Nothobranchius furzeri: one gene and its partners. The protein of the gene in region 3 interacts with the protein of the main gene of each other region in a pairwise test. Links are inferred from orthologs where the notes say so. Each region holds a gene or a part of one and is shown on either strand. Other genes may lie near its edges.

Region 1 (4,041 bases), about 3.0 Mb from region 3:
CGTGTCACTAAAGAAAAGCTTGAGTTTTACCAGTCAGCAGCAGGTGATGACAGCCATGAAAGGACACAAATACGAACAAAAGTGGCAGAATATTCATCAACATTTTGTTGCAATTGTGTTAAAAAAGACATTTCCCCAATAGCCTTTCAGCTCTGCTCCAGATAGACAGATTCGTGCAGTAAGACGTATTGTACACACTTTGACCTGCACAAAATCCTGCTCTGTAGTCATGATTCAGTCAGTAGTGACTCCACGCTGCTCTTTGCTGCCCTCACAAGCCTCTCAGAGGAATTTTTCATCCTCTAATGGAAAACATGAGCGCCTGTGAACTGACTGTCTGATTAAGGCCAAAAACACCGACTCCAGGTGTCAAAGAGGCTGAAATGCATTCAAAAGTCCTTTTTCCTCGCAGAAAGCTGATGTTTTCACTCTGTATACAACTCTTAGACATCAATGAGTTTATTGCATGCTTGGGCTTTATGTTTTGAATGAAAGCTGCATTTATGTCTCTTAACAGCTACATGCTTGCTTAGTATGAGGATTGCTGTAAAGTCACTGGCACTAGTCAGTGACTTGATGCAATTTGCTGGGTTCCTTATATAGGAAACATTATTTCTGATTGGTTTAATGAACTGACCCGGATTGGAATGTGAAGTGCCTTGAGACGACTCTTGTCGTGACTTGGCGCTATATAAATAAAATTGAATTGAATTGAACTGAACTCTAATATAGTACAGCTAATATATATATATAGATGCACATAAATGAGTCAAGTGCTTCTCTCACATTCGTCTAAAATCCTCCACCAATAACACGGCTCCGACCAAAACCAACTATTGGACCATCTGGGTGTCAGTGTCACCGATCCGCCACACTACCACATTGAGCCGGAAGGAGAAGTTCTCGATTTATCGGTCGATCTGCGTTCCTACCCTCACCTATGGTAATGAGCTTTGGGTAGTGACCGGAAGAACGAGATTGCAGATACAAGCGGCTGAAACGAGTTTTCTCCACAGGATGGCTGGGCTCTATCTTAGAGATAGGGTGCGAAGCTCAGTCATCCGGGAGGGGATGGGAGTAGACCGGCTGCTCCTCCACATCGAGAGGAGCCAGTTGAGGTGGCTCGGGCAGGATGCCTCCTGGACACCTCCCTGGTGAGGTTTACCGCGAGAAGACCTGAAGGAAGACCCAGGACACGTTGGAGGGGCTATGTCTCTCGACTGGCCAGTAAACGCCTCAGGATTCCCCCTGAGGAGCTGGCCCAAGTGGCTGGGGAGAGGGAAGTTTGGGCCTCCCTGTTTAGGCTGCTGCCCCCGCGACCCGACTCTATTCTCCAAGTGAGGTCATGGACAACAAAAGATGTTTGGACCTAGAAACAACGAGTGGTGTTCTGCACTATCTGGTTTACTCTGGCAATGTGGGTTTGCAGTTCCAATGAACACGGATCCAGGAAAGACACCCGAGAGGAGGGGTGAGCGCTCCGAGACTGTGATTGCATTCAAAACTTGTTTGCAGATTCGCTAGCCAGTTGAGATTGCTGGGGAGAGGGATGTCTGGAGCTCCCTGCCTAGGCTGCTGCCCCACAACCTGACTCCGGATAAGCGGATGACAATGGATGGATGGATGGATGGATGGATGGATGGATGGATGGATGGATGGATGGATGGATGGATGGATGGCTATAGCAGCTTTAAAGATTAACAAGTTGTACTTTACAGGGGACATTGTTACCAGAAGAGGCTTCCATGTTGAGGTAACCATCCAGCAAAGACCTGAAGCCCGTCAGTCCACCCATGGCCGCATAAGGAACACCTTTACCAGCTGGCTGACCTCTTGCCTCCCTTTCCTGCTTTGTCTCAACCTGTGAAGAACAAAAGCAATACGTTCATAACTATAAATACTGTGTTTGTTTAAAGTCTCCGTACCAGGGTTTGGTGTGCATAGCAGGGCTGGCCACAGCCACAAGTGTACGGACTCTGGAACCCGGAGCAGAAGTCACCTGGGACGTAAAGGATTAAAAAACACAAATGAAAGAACTTCAGTTTGAGTGTGGAGTGAGTTTGGTTTGGATGCCATGCTTACACTTCTTGCACAGATGTGCTGCATCTTCCCTGTGATCCTGGAGCTGGTGTTTACACCTGCAGCGCACAGGACTCGATCCCACAAGTGGAACGAACCTGAACGCAGAGCAGAGACATCCTTTGACCCGACACGGTAGAGCGAGAGGTCGCTCAGAGGGCACCACCTCCCACTCGGTCTTATGCTGCTTATACCTGTTTGATAATAAATTGTTCCCATTAATCTGTCCGTGTGAGTGAGATTAGGGTGTGTGATGTAATCTGAGATGAAAGGTTACCTGTGGGTGCAGAAGCACTGCGTCTCAGGGCCAATCTGCTTACAGTCAGCACCTCCAGGTACACCAAAGCTCACGTACAACCTGTTCTGCACACGTTGAGGTAAAACCTTTCTCCTGTACTCCTCATATTGCTCTGGAGTGAAGAGGTTACCTCCATCATCCTCACCCACAATCCTTAGAAACACATCACAACGACTTATAACAACAGTTAAGACACGTGCTGATAAATCTGTTGCTATTTGTTCTTAGACGTCGTTTAGTTGCTACAGTTCTGAAAACGCTGAGAGTCGGGAGGGAAGCTCCTACCTGGTGTACTCCCAGTAGTCATCCACAGCTTTTAAAGCTGATTTATTCAGACCTTTTCTAGCCATTACCTTGGATATCACTACTTGTGTGTGTTGTTTTGCTGTCTACTGCTAAGCTCAGAACGACTGTTTACAACCTGAAAGAAGGTTGCCATAGAGATAGATGCAGCTCTCCCTCTAGTGGGCAAAACTCAAACTGCACACAAAAATCCAGACGTGCCAGACTTTAATGAACCAACGTTGCAAGTTAAAGTTGTAAATGTATCATATCAGAAATGTCCTTTTTATTAATGATACATATTTTTGGGGCAGCAGTAGCTCAGGTGGTAGAGCGGGTTGCCTCATGATCAGAGGGTCATGGGTTCGATTCCAGCTCCCGCCAGGGCTATCCTGCCGTTGTGTCCTTGGGCAAGACACTTCACCCAACTTGCCTGTGTTAGTGGTGGTCAGAGGGGCCGATGGCGCCAAATGGCAACCTCGCCTCCGTCAGACCTCCCCAGGGCGGCTGTGGCCACAGGTAGCTTACCATCACTAGCAGTGTGTGAATGTGAGTGTGTGTGAAAGCATCTTTGGGTGTCTAGAAAAGCGCTATATAAGTTCAATGCATTATTATTATTATTATTATATTTCATGGCAAATCTTTGTGATATTCAAAACCTTTCTAAATGCATCACCACACTTATCTTCTTTTTTTATATTTCATTAACGTTTCTTTGTTGTAACTTTGTCATCTTCATCACACGGACATCCACTTCTTTACGAGAACTGACGCATTTTTATGCATAAAAGTTAAAAATAGCATCCTCTGTTAGGAGAAAAACACTTTAAATTCTGCAGGAGTGAAAGTTAACAGCTTCTTAGACCTTAACAAGTTAGTGTCTTCTTTAGGTTTCAAAGCCTTTACCTGATTTTACATTAAACTATCATTAAAGGGATACTATGCCGTTTTGGCTTGCTTTTAGCACCCCCTAGTGTTTGTTAATAAAAACAAAAGTGAAACTTATCTCCTCGTTGTCATTTTAAAAGGAACTCCGCCTATAAGGACGTGTATGCCCTAATAAGCCACGAGTTTTCTGTTGTTCCAAACTATGTTGTTAGAAACATACAAACTATTGCTGTTTTTTATAAATCTATAATATTTAGTACATTTTTGACATACATAGGACGCCATGTTTTCTGCACGCAATGCACTCTGGGGGCGATGACGTATATTGGTTGCTCTTGGAAGAACAGCTATTGACGCTATAGTGTTTGTTTATGCACTCACCATATTAATAATTAAGTAAAATGCCGCATTGTGCTGCTTTTGGATGTAATTTCTAGTCAGAGGGCAACAAGGGGAGTGATGTGAGTTTACACAGCTTTCCCACTGGCAAGAAG
Region 2 (4,091 bases), on a different chromosome or scaffold from region 3:
TATCAACACAGTCTATCAAACAGCTGGCAGACAGCGCTCTCCTTCCTCTCTCTCATCCCGGCTCACTCATTTCTGCGTCTCGACTAGGAATGTGCCTCCCTCTGTCTGTTTCCGATAACAAACAAGCACAGGGCCCAGGTCTGCTTTGCCAAAATGCAGCCTGCCTCCCCCGCCTCCCCCTCACCCAACATTACTGACTTAACACAGACATCCCAAATGAAGAATGGAGGCAAGCTTGGCCATAAATAACACACAACGCCTGCTCCACACGAGCGACTGAATGTAGAAAAGGTAACGCAGCCAAACACGAGGGCGTGATGACGGAGAGGTGGCAGAAGGTTGCAGAGCACGTTTTCATTTGGTGACAAAAGCAGCGGGAGCTTCTTTTTATAAGTGTCTTTGTTTATTTCCAACTCTTCCCTATAGTCTCAGTCTCTCTCCATCGCTCTATTACACCAGCTCGGCATAAAGCAACTTTCAGTGTTTGTCTACACATAAGCCGTCAAACAGTCTGCCTTCACAAAGACGCTGGAGCTGCTGCACCAGGCAAGCAGCAATGCCGCCCCAGCGGCTGTGCATGGAGGCTAGAAGGTATCAGCAAGAAGATGACAAATCCTGACGACTGTTCGAGGAGTTTGTTCCAAAACAACTATTTGGAATATTATGTGATTCCAGGGGTCATTCAAATGTCAGCAGATCTCAAAGCCAAACATCCATTTCCCTTTCTGCTACTTTGATCAGAGTCAAGATAATCATCTCCATCCTCGTGACTGAGCCGTTAACAGTATTAGCTGAATGGTAATGAGTGTCTGAAGTTAAATGTGGAAAACGTGGAGATGTTTCACTGCACATCATCTTTAAAATGTTGTTATCTCCATCGTACGCAGTTCTACTAAACATCACGGTGAATGTTTTTAATTAAAAACTGAAAACCTGGACACACGACTCACTCTGCTTGTTCTTATTTTGGAAAAGAAAATGATCCAAACGGCTCTGTCACTTTCCAGAAGATGACTTGTTTAGCAAAGTGTTCTTTCACTCCTCAGACCCACAAAAACATATCCTTGAATTGTGTCCCCAGTCTAATCTGATTAGGATAACTTATTCCCACAATTCTTTGCATGTTCCCACCACCTCCTCCTCCCTGGACCCCTCGCTGTTTCATGACCTAATATTGCCGATTGTTCAGGCAGGTGGGAAAACCCCCTGAGGCTTTCTCCTGTCACAGGCGCAAAAATAATCCATGCAATATGTTGCTGTTATGAACAGTAAGAATCACATTTATGGGTATTTGGACAGAGGTATTACTGGATCATCAAACGCCCTCAGAAAAATCTGAACACGACTCAATGGGATTCTTCCGGACTGACTATGGGTAAAGGTTGAAAATAAAATAAAGGTACAAAATATGTGACAGTTCTCATAAGAAAAAACTCAAAACCTTCATAAATGTACACTTTAATCACAAGTAGGCTATATCTTGAAAGGACACCAGTATTTTAATAAAAATATTTAAAGCATAAAAAATCAGGAGTTCACATTTTAATGAATCTGCAGTTTCTCAGTGTTGACAGTGGGTGGCATAGGTGTTCACTAAGTGGAGATGAAAATTTCTAATTGTATAAAATTAATTATTTTTATAGCATCAATTCAGTCTAGCATAAAATATCTACAGCCCAGTTTAGAACAAAACTCTGACAGTTTTATAAAATTCAGACATTTTAAACTCATATAGACCTAAACTAAATAAAAGTCATTTTTATTTGACTGTTGATGAGGAACAAATGGACAGAAAGCATTCCTATAAAAGCAGATAGTAGCTGATGGAGCCCAAATGTAAGCAGGTAATAGGCCTCCATTGTGTTTTGCCATTGTTCTGCCATCTATACTGTGTTTGGAACTAAACCTCTAACCAAAATACAAATTTTGTCGATTGTATAACTCTTGCCACCTACTTAAAATGTAGCATAGAATAAATATGAATTCAATAATAGCTTACTCTATATCTTATAATTGTATAACAAAACTCACTGAATTATATTATGGCCATTGGTTTTGTTGAGCCACCCCAAATTTATTAGAGGACCCAGTTGGTGCACTCTTTAAAGAAAAAAAAACTTTCTGGATGCGCCCCTGCAAAAAAAAAAAGCGTCAGCACAGGAGGATGAGCCACCCCATGAGCTAGATTTAATCGGGGGAAAGATCCAGGGAACGTGTGTTTCAGTACCTTGGAAGTGGAAAGCTCTAGACTCGCCGTGGAAGCCCTGGACCTGAGTAACTCCATCAAAGCCTTCTCCAAGAGTTAGTTCATCAAACACGCTGATGCGCAGGGCAGGGTCAACCCCAAAACCTACAACTTATTCACAACACACAACACAACCAATGCTGTTATGAGTTCAAGAGCACACAAGATTATCTAAAGAAATCACATTTTCTACAGAATCCAAAGCATCTGGTGAAATCCGAACAAAACAAAAAATGCCACAAAATGACTACATCTGCATGTTGCAAGATGGCAACATTGTGTCCTACCTGAGGAGATGCAAAACATGCAGAGAACCAGAAACCGCTGAAATAATCCCATAGTGACTGTCTTTTTGAAACAACTAGTCCATGATTTGTCCACTTGCGAGAGACCGTGTTGTTGAATCACAGGCGATTACAATAAATCCGCCTCTCAAATGAAGCGATTAAAAATCCCAAACGCTGCAGGTCGGAGGCATCATCACAACTTTAGATGCTCCGGTGATGCGAATGAAATAAAAGGCGAATCCAGGGAGGAAGGAGGGAAAACGTTAAGTATCGTGCAGAAACTACGCCATGTACTGAGGCGAGGTCTGGTCCAGTAAGCAGAACCATCCGCGGTACAGGTGGATGCCAGGACGCACAGCGCGAGGCGAGCTGTCCTGCCTCTAGAACCGAGAACTGCGACTGGAGGATGACCAGAGGAGATGAGGAGAGAGGGAGAGCGGGAGATACAGGAGCAACAAGGCCCCCTGCTGGCAACAGATGAGAATGTTTTATGATTTTCTTTCTTCTTACAGCCACACTTGATTCTTTTAGTCATCAATTTCTGCTTTGTTTGGAAGAAACATTTTAATAAGGATGAAAGATGATTTTTTTAAATCAAATTTCATATCATAACTATTTTGCTCATCTCTGCAAAGACTTCCCATGCTTTGCTTGCCATGTGTGTTTATTTGCTTATTCACAGAAGAAATGAGCAAAGAAAATGTATGTTTGTGCAAATCTGGTTCTGTGTTCAATGCATCCAGTCAGGCTTTCTGAATAGCACCACCAGAGTAATGATATAATGCAAAATAAAGTTGTTTATATGAATGAGTTTTTGAGATTAAAGTTGTTTTAAGAAGCGTGCAAAGATGTACTGAGAAAGTGTTAACAGGAGCAGGCCCAATGAAAATAATAGAGGCAGTATAGCTTATGTGCAACCAGCAAAAGGAAAAGCAAAGAAGTGGCACATCCGTGATCACACCTGTGTGTCCGGATAAAGGGGTTTGGGAGGAGAATACACACACATGCAGCAAAGAAGAAGTGGAGGTCCATCAGGACTGATTAGTTTGGTCTGAAATCTGTGCAAAACCCTGGCGGATGATACCAACATAAAGCTAAAGAAGGAATATTAGGGCCTCAGCAAACTGAGATTATTCATCTATCCACATTAAAATGTTCTAAACAACTTCAAAAGATCCGAGCTATGAATAAACCACCTCACAAATCTTCCACTGCATGATCGTGATTCAGAATGAGTTAAATGTCTTTCAGGACAAAGTGCCTGGTAATTTCATAGGCAATAAAGACACAAGTTATTTCTGCAGAAAGCATTTTTACAAGCCACTAAACCCTTGAGTGCACCATGTTTTCATCTGAGGTTTTGTGTATCACATTTATTATCCGGATTAGAAAAATCTTGTTACCGATTTTTCCACAACTTTAGTGATTATTTTAGTCTGACTTTGATCAAGCATGTGTTTTAAGCTACAAAAGTGAAATCCTTGATTATTCACATGAAGAAGCATCATGTCACCATCCTCATGAAAGACATCAAAAGTAACAGCATATGTTAAAGTGAC
Region 3 (4,313 bases):
GTCATTGCGTTGCTCACTTAACAGCACCCTGCGCTGCATACCCGCCATGACCCGGATACACCACTTTACATTTGTTTTCGTTTGCAGACTCGTGTCTGCCTTTTTTTGCTCACGTTACAGATCAAACTTATCTGAAGATACAGAGATGTTCTTGCAGACACATTGCACAATTTAAACCTAAAGCTCCAGGGTGATCCAAAAGCTCCCGGATGGAGGACTAACTTTAATAAATGTTCACACAATGTCATTCACGAACAAAGACTCTGGTTTTGATACATTTAAACGTTGGTATTTACAGGCCCGTGTGGCCCAGATAGGCTGCTCAGGTAGAGGTGTACGTGTCCGTGCCAGTGGAGGACACCGTGGATGAGCTGGGAGAGGGCGTGGACGGCGCTGAGACGGACCTCTCAGAAGCGGCATCGTCTAATTTCTCTTGATTTATTTCTTCCGGGTGCGATGACTGGACCTTAGCCGGCAGCATCCCCTCTTTCTCGCGCTTTTTCTGCTTCATCCTCCGATTCTGAAACCAAATCTTCACCTGAGTCTCATTCAGCTGCAGCGCAGCAGCAATCTCCACTCGGCGCGCCCGGGTCAGGTATTTGTTGAAGTGGAATTCTTTTTCCAGCTCTGTCAGCTGCTTGGTGGTGAAGTTGGTCCGGACGATGTTTGGCTGGCCCGCATAGCCGTACTCGCCGGAGCGACCTGGGGACAGGAAGAGGGATTCAAGTTTATTTTCTCACCCAAAGGACGCACAAACTGTGCGATTATCCAAAAGAACCAACTTTTACGCAGCAGGCAAAGAAAACCTAATTATTTTACATATAAAACACACTCTATAGTTAAAGACAAATGTCTTTAAACCAACTTTTAAAAGAAAGGGGCGCACGCTTGAAGTGGAAACATGGACATTTAATGCGTTTGCGCGTCAACGCGCTCGCAGTGTCAACATCTCCTGTGTGGATTCCAGTCTGCTTGACCGATTAAAACCAATTAAAACCAATAATAGCAACAGACTAGATTCCCACCTATCTCCCTCGTGCTGGTACAGCTCTGCACCCACCTGTTTTCGGTGGATTTCTTTTGACTTTCATCCAGTCGAAAGTCTGCGCAGAAGATGCGCTCTCTGACAGAGGTGAGCAGCAAGCTTCCAGGTGAGCTGCATGCAGAGGTGACAGCGGGTTGGAGGCCCCAGGATAAGAAGGTGCCTGTTCATGACCCCCGCCATAAGCAGCATACTGCAGCTGGCCCAAGGTGGCAGCACTGTAGCCATGGCGATGCTGAGACACCATGGAGGAAGAGATGTTACCTGAAAACATCAAAGGGCTGCACTGGGGGAATGCAGGTGCAGAGTCTACTTCCTGGTTGAGTGTGTAGTGGTTGTACGTGGCGCAGAAACTTTGGGGCCCATAGTTAGAGCCACAGGCCGGGTGGGCCCCATAGGAGAGACCCATAGAGGTGGCAGTAGGCTGGTAAGAGGCCGGCTGGTGAGGGATGCTGTCAGGGGAAGTCCTGTTTGCCATGAAGTGCTCATCCGCCCCGCAGCTGCTGATTGCAGCCCCGCAGGACTGGAAAGTTGTAATCCCGTGGTCCGAGTGGAAAGCCCTGATCGAACATGAGCCACCCTCACCGCTCATCACCGAGTAATCTAGGAAGCTGCTCATTGTAGCATCGTTAGTCTGGGACCAGGAGACTGTCCTCTCCCCCTCTGATCTCTCCACACTCTCACCCTAAAGTGACCGTGCCAACCTTTACCTTTCTGTCCCTATCAGTGCAGGGAGGGGGGTGCTGGGGATATCAATGAACGGGCACTGTCACGTGGGCACGGGTCAGCCAGTGAGGGTCCTTGTCCCTTTAGCCGGTGACAGATTGGTGTTTGAGGGGCTATTTAAATTCCAGGCGCTCGTCGATCAAGGTGACGCGCGTCGCCACTAATGTATTGGCCGAGCAAACAATGGGCTGGGAGGCAGACGGAGGTGGACAGCTCCGGGACACACGAGGAGCTGCTGAGACGGTGAACCCGGTGTCTTTTAACCCCCCTGCTGCGCAATCTCACACTGAGGAGAGATGTCATCCAAGGTGGACCGCTCTGCACTCTGACCTCAGGTATTTTTAGAACAGAGAAGTGTGAGTCTGTGTGCGTGCGCGCGTGTGTTGGCGTCTCCGTGCGTATAAGCCCTGGTGTCGCATGTGTCATTCTGTCCAGGAAGGATGGATGGCTGAGAGTGCGCGCGCTCGCTGCAGCCGCGGGCTATCTTTAGGCTATTAATGTCCCATTCCGATGTGAAATGTTTCACGCTGGAACATTAAGGGATTTTCTGGGCAAATATTGTTACAATGTGATGGAGAGGACGTGTTTCCCCTGTTAAATACATCCATCCCATCGCACCAAGCCACCTTCCAGCAGAATTTCGTTTCCTCTTAAGGTCGCAGCAGGAGCAGGTTTGTGCATTTCACGTTACGAGGAGAGATGATCCGGTCATATATTCATAAAACACCGCAAAAGGATGCGCAAAAAGCTCAAATTACGTTTAAAATGTGCCTGAAGTAGCGCACAAACGTGATTAGGAGACAAAACCATTAAGGTGATGTGATATTAATGTTTTGTTCCGTTCTCGGGTCATAGGTCAGCCATCTACCAGAGTTCCAGTCCCGCATGTATTCATTATGCATGTATGGTGATCAAATGATATAATAATGCGAAGCCTGCTAATGCGCATATGTAGCCCGAGGTGCGAGTGGGCTGATTATCCTGTTAAGTTCATCAAATAAAGCTGCTGGGAAAACGAATGGTCACGGGAGGCGCGAGAGCGGAGGGGAGTGAGGGGGTTGTAGCAGATGCCCAACCTCTAACCGAGGAAGGAATAGAGGAGAGGGAGGGAGGGAGGGCGAAGGGAAGGATCAGATGGAGGGATGAGCGCCCCCTCAGGCTGAAGATAGACATGCACTTAAATAAACGTGCTTCTGTTATTAAGTAGATTAATTCAGCTCAGAAAAGCGTGATTCAGATTTTACACTCTATTTATTTTTCCTACAAACGTCTAAGTTGTCTCACTGGTACTCAAACAAGCAGTATCAGTAAAATATTAGCAACATTCAAATGTGCAGCTTTTTTCCATTAGTCAAATGTAGTTCTACTTTGTCTTAAATGTAATGTTTTAGGATGTTAGAAAAACAAAATTAGATGTGAAAATGTTCAAAGACTTGTTGCAAACTACATAGCAGAGGGAGGGAGAGAGAGAGAGAGAGAGAGAGAGAGAGAGAGAGAGAGAGAGAGAGAGAGAGAGAGAGAGAGAGAGAGAGAGAGAGAGAGAGAGAGAGAGAGAGAGAGAGAGAGAGAGAGAGAGAGACGAACTGGTTTCCATTCCACCCCCACCCCTCTCCAGCAGCTGCCTCTGTAGTGAGTGGGCGCGGAGGATCCATCGCGTCTCTGCTGCTTGAGGCCAGCCGGGCCCCGCGGAGATTCCGCGGCTCTTTGTGTGGCCGCGGGGGCGCAGAAAAGGCGCGCTGTCTCGGAATGATTTGGTTATGCAGGCCCGTAGTGCAGGAGAGCAGCATCTGCCCCCTGCTTCCTCCTACCACCCCCTCATCTGAACACACGCGCGCGCGCGCGCACACACACACACCCACACACGCACACAGCCAAAGTTAGAGCTGATTTTCTGCTTTCGGCTAAGTTTGACACGTTTTGAAAAATCACTGCAGCTTTCATCTCAACTGGTGTTTTTTAGTGATTCTGAGTTAAACTGGATTATTGAGTTCCCATAAATCCAATCAAAGCTGCGCAAGAGTGCTAAAATGTTCATAATCCCTTTATTGAAGTGAGGGGTTTGAAACGCACACAAACCAGTCTTGTCTTTAAATAAAAAAAATCACAGATTCCACCAGTGTGAGTGGAGAAGCGACGCTAAATAAGAGCAGCTTTAACCTGAGCTGCTGCTGCTGCTGTCTCCGAGTCAGAGCCGCGTGTTAAACAAGCCATAAAAATGAATTATTACCAAACGCACGCAGAGAGCTCGGCCCCTTTTAGCTTAGGAATCGGGGAGTCCCGCATGAAAACGTAAGTGGGGTTTTTATTTGTGCACATTACGCCACAATTGCTCTCTTTAATGTCCGCCTCATTCATGCCACGGAGTGATTTATGAGCTCCTGAAGGCAAACATGGGTCGGGTGTTTGCTTGCAACTTGCACGCCGTGTTTGGAGCCTTGTCATGCTCAGATCCTGGGTGCAAATTTGGTCTTCTAATTATTTATTCCTGCAGCTGAAATTGGAAATAGCTCAAATTATGGCTTTGCGCATTTACGAAAAGAAATTA

What was found.
Region 1: the proteins of hoxa1a (region 3) and fam221a interact in binary tests that used the Homo sapiens proteins (3 or more experiments, as listed by UniProt). The link is inferred for Nothobranchius furzeri from reciprocal best matches to the Homo sapiens genes HOXA1 and FAM221A.
Region 2: the proteins of hoxa1a (region 3) and nell2a interact in binary tests that used the Homo sapiens proteins (3 or more experiments, as listed by UniProt). The link is inferred for Nothobranchius furzeri from reciprocal best matches to the Homo sapiens genes HOXA1 and NELL2.

Annotation. Positions count from the first base shown.
Region 1 is NC_091751.1:26,510,145-26,514,185, reverse strand, and holds the start of fam221a (protein FAM221A), read right to left. Parts: upstream 2,803-4,041; 5' UTR 2,728-2,802; coding exon 2,663-2,727; intron 2,531-2,662; coding exon 2,357-2,530; intron 2,274-2,356; coding exon 2,083-2,273; intron 2,000-2,082; coding exon 1,926-1,999; intron 1,862-1,925; coding exon 1,732-1,861; intron 1-1,731.
Region 2 is NC_091744.1:61,426,205-61,430,295, forward strand, and holds the start of nell2a (protein kinase C-binding protein NELL2a), read right to left. Parts: upstream 2,803-4,091; 5' UTR 2,585-2,802; coding exon 2,533-2,584; intron 2,357-2,532; coding exon 2,228-2,356; intron 1-2,227. UniProt on the Homo sapiens protein: Plays multiple roles in neural tissues, regulates neuronal proliferation, survival, differentiation, polarization, as well as axon guidance and synaptic functions.
Region 3 is NC_091751.1:29,552,087-29,556,399, forward strand, and holds the start of hoxa1a (homeobox protein Hox-A1a), read right to left. Parts: upstream 2,830-4,313; 5' UTR 1,662-2,829; coding exon 1,061-1,661; intron 703-1,060; coding exon 323-702; 3' UTR 1-322. UniProt on the Homo sapiens protein: Sequence-specific transcription factor. Regulates multiple developmental processes including brainstem, inner and outer ear, abducens nerve and cardiovascular development and morphogenesis as well as cognition and behavior.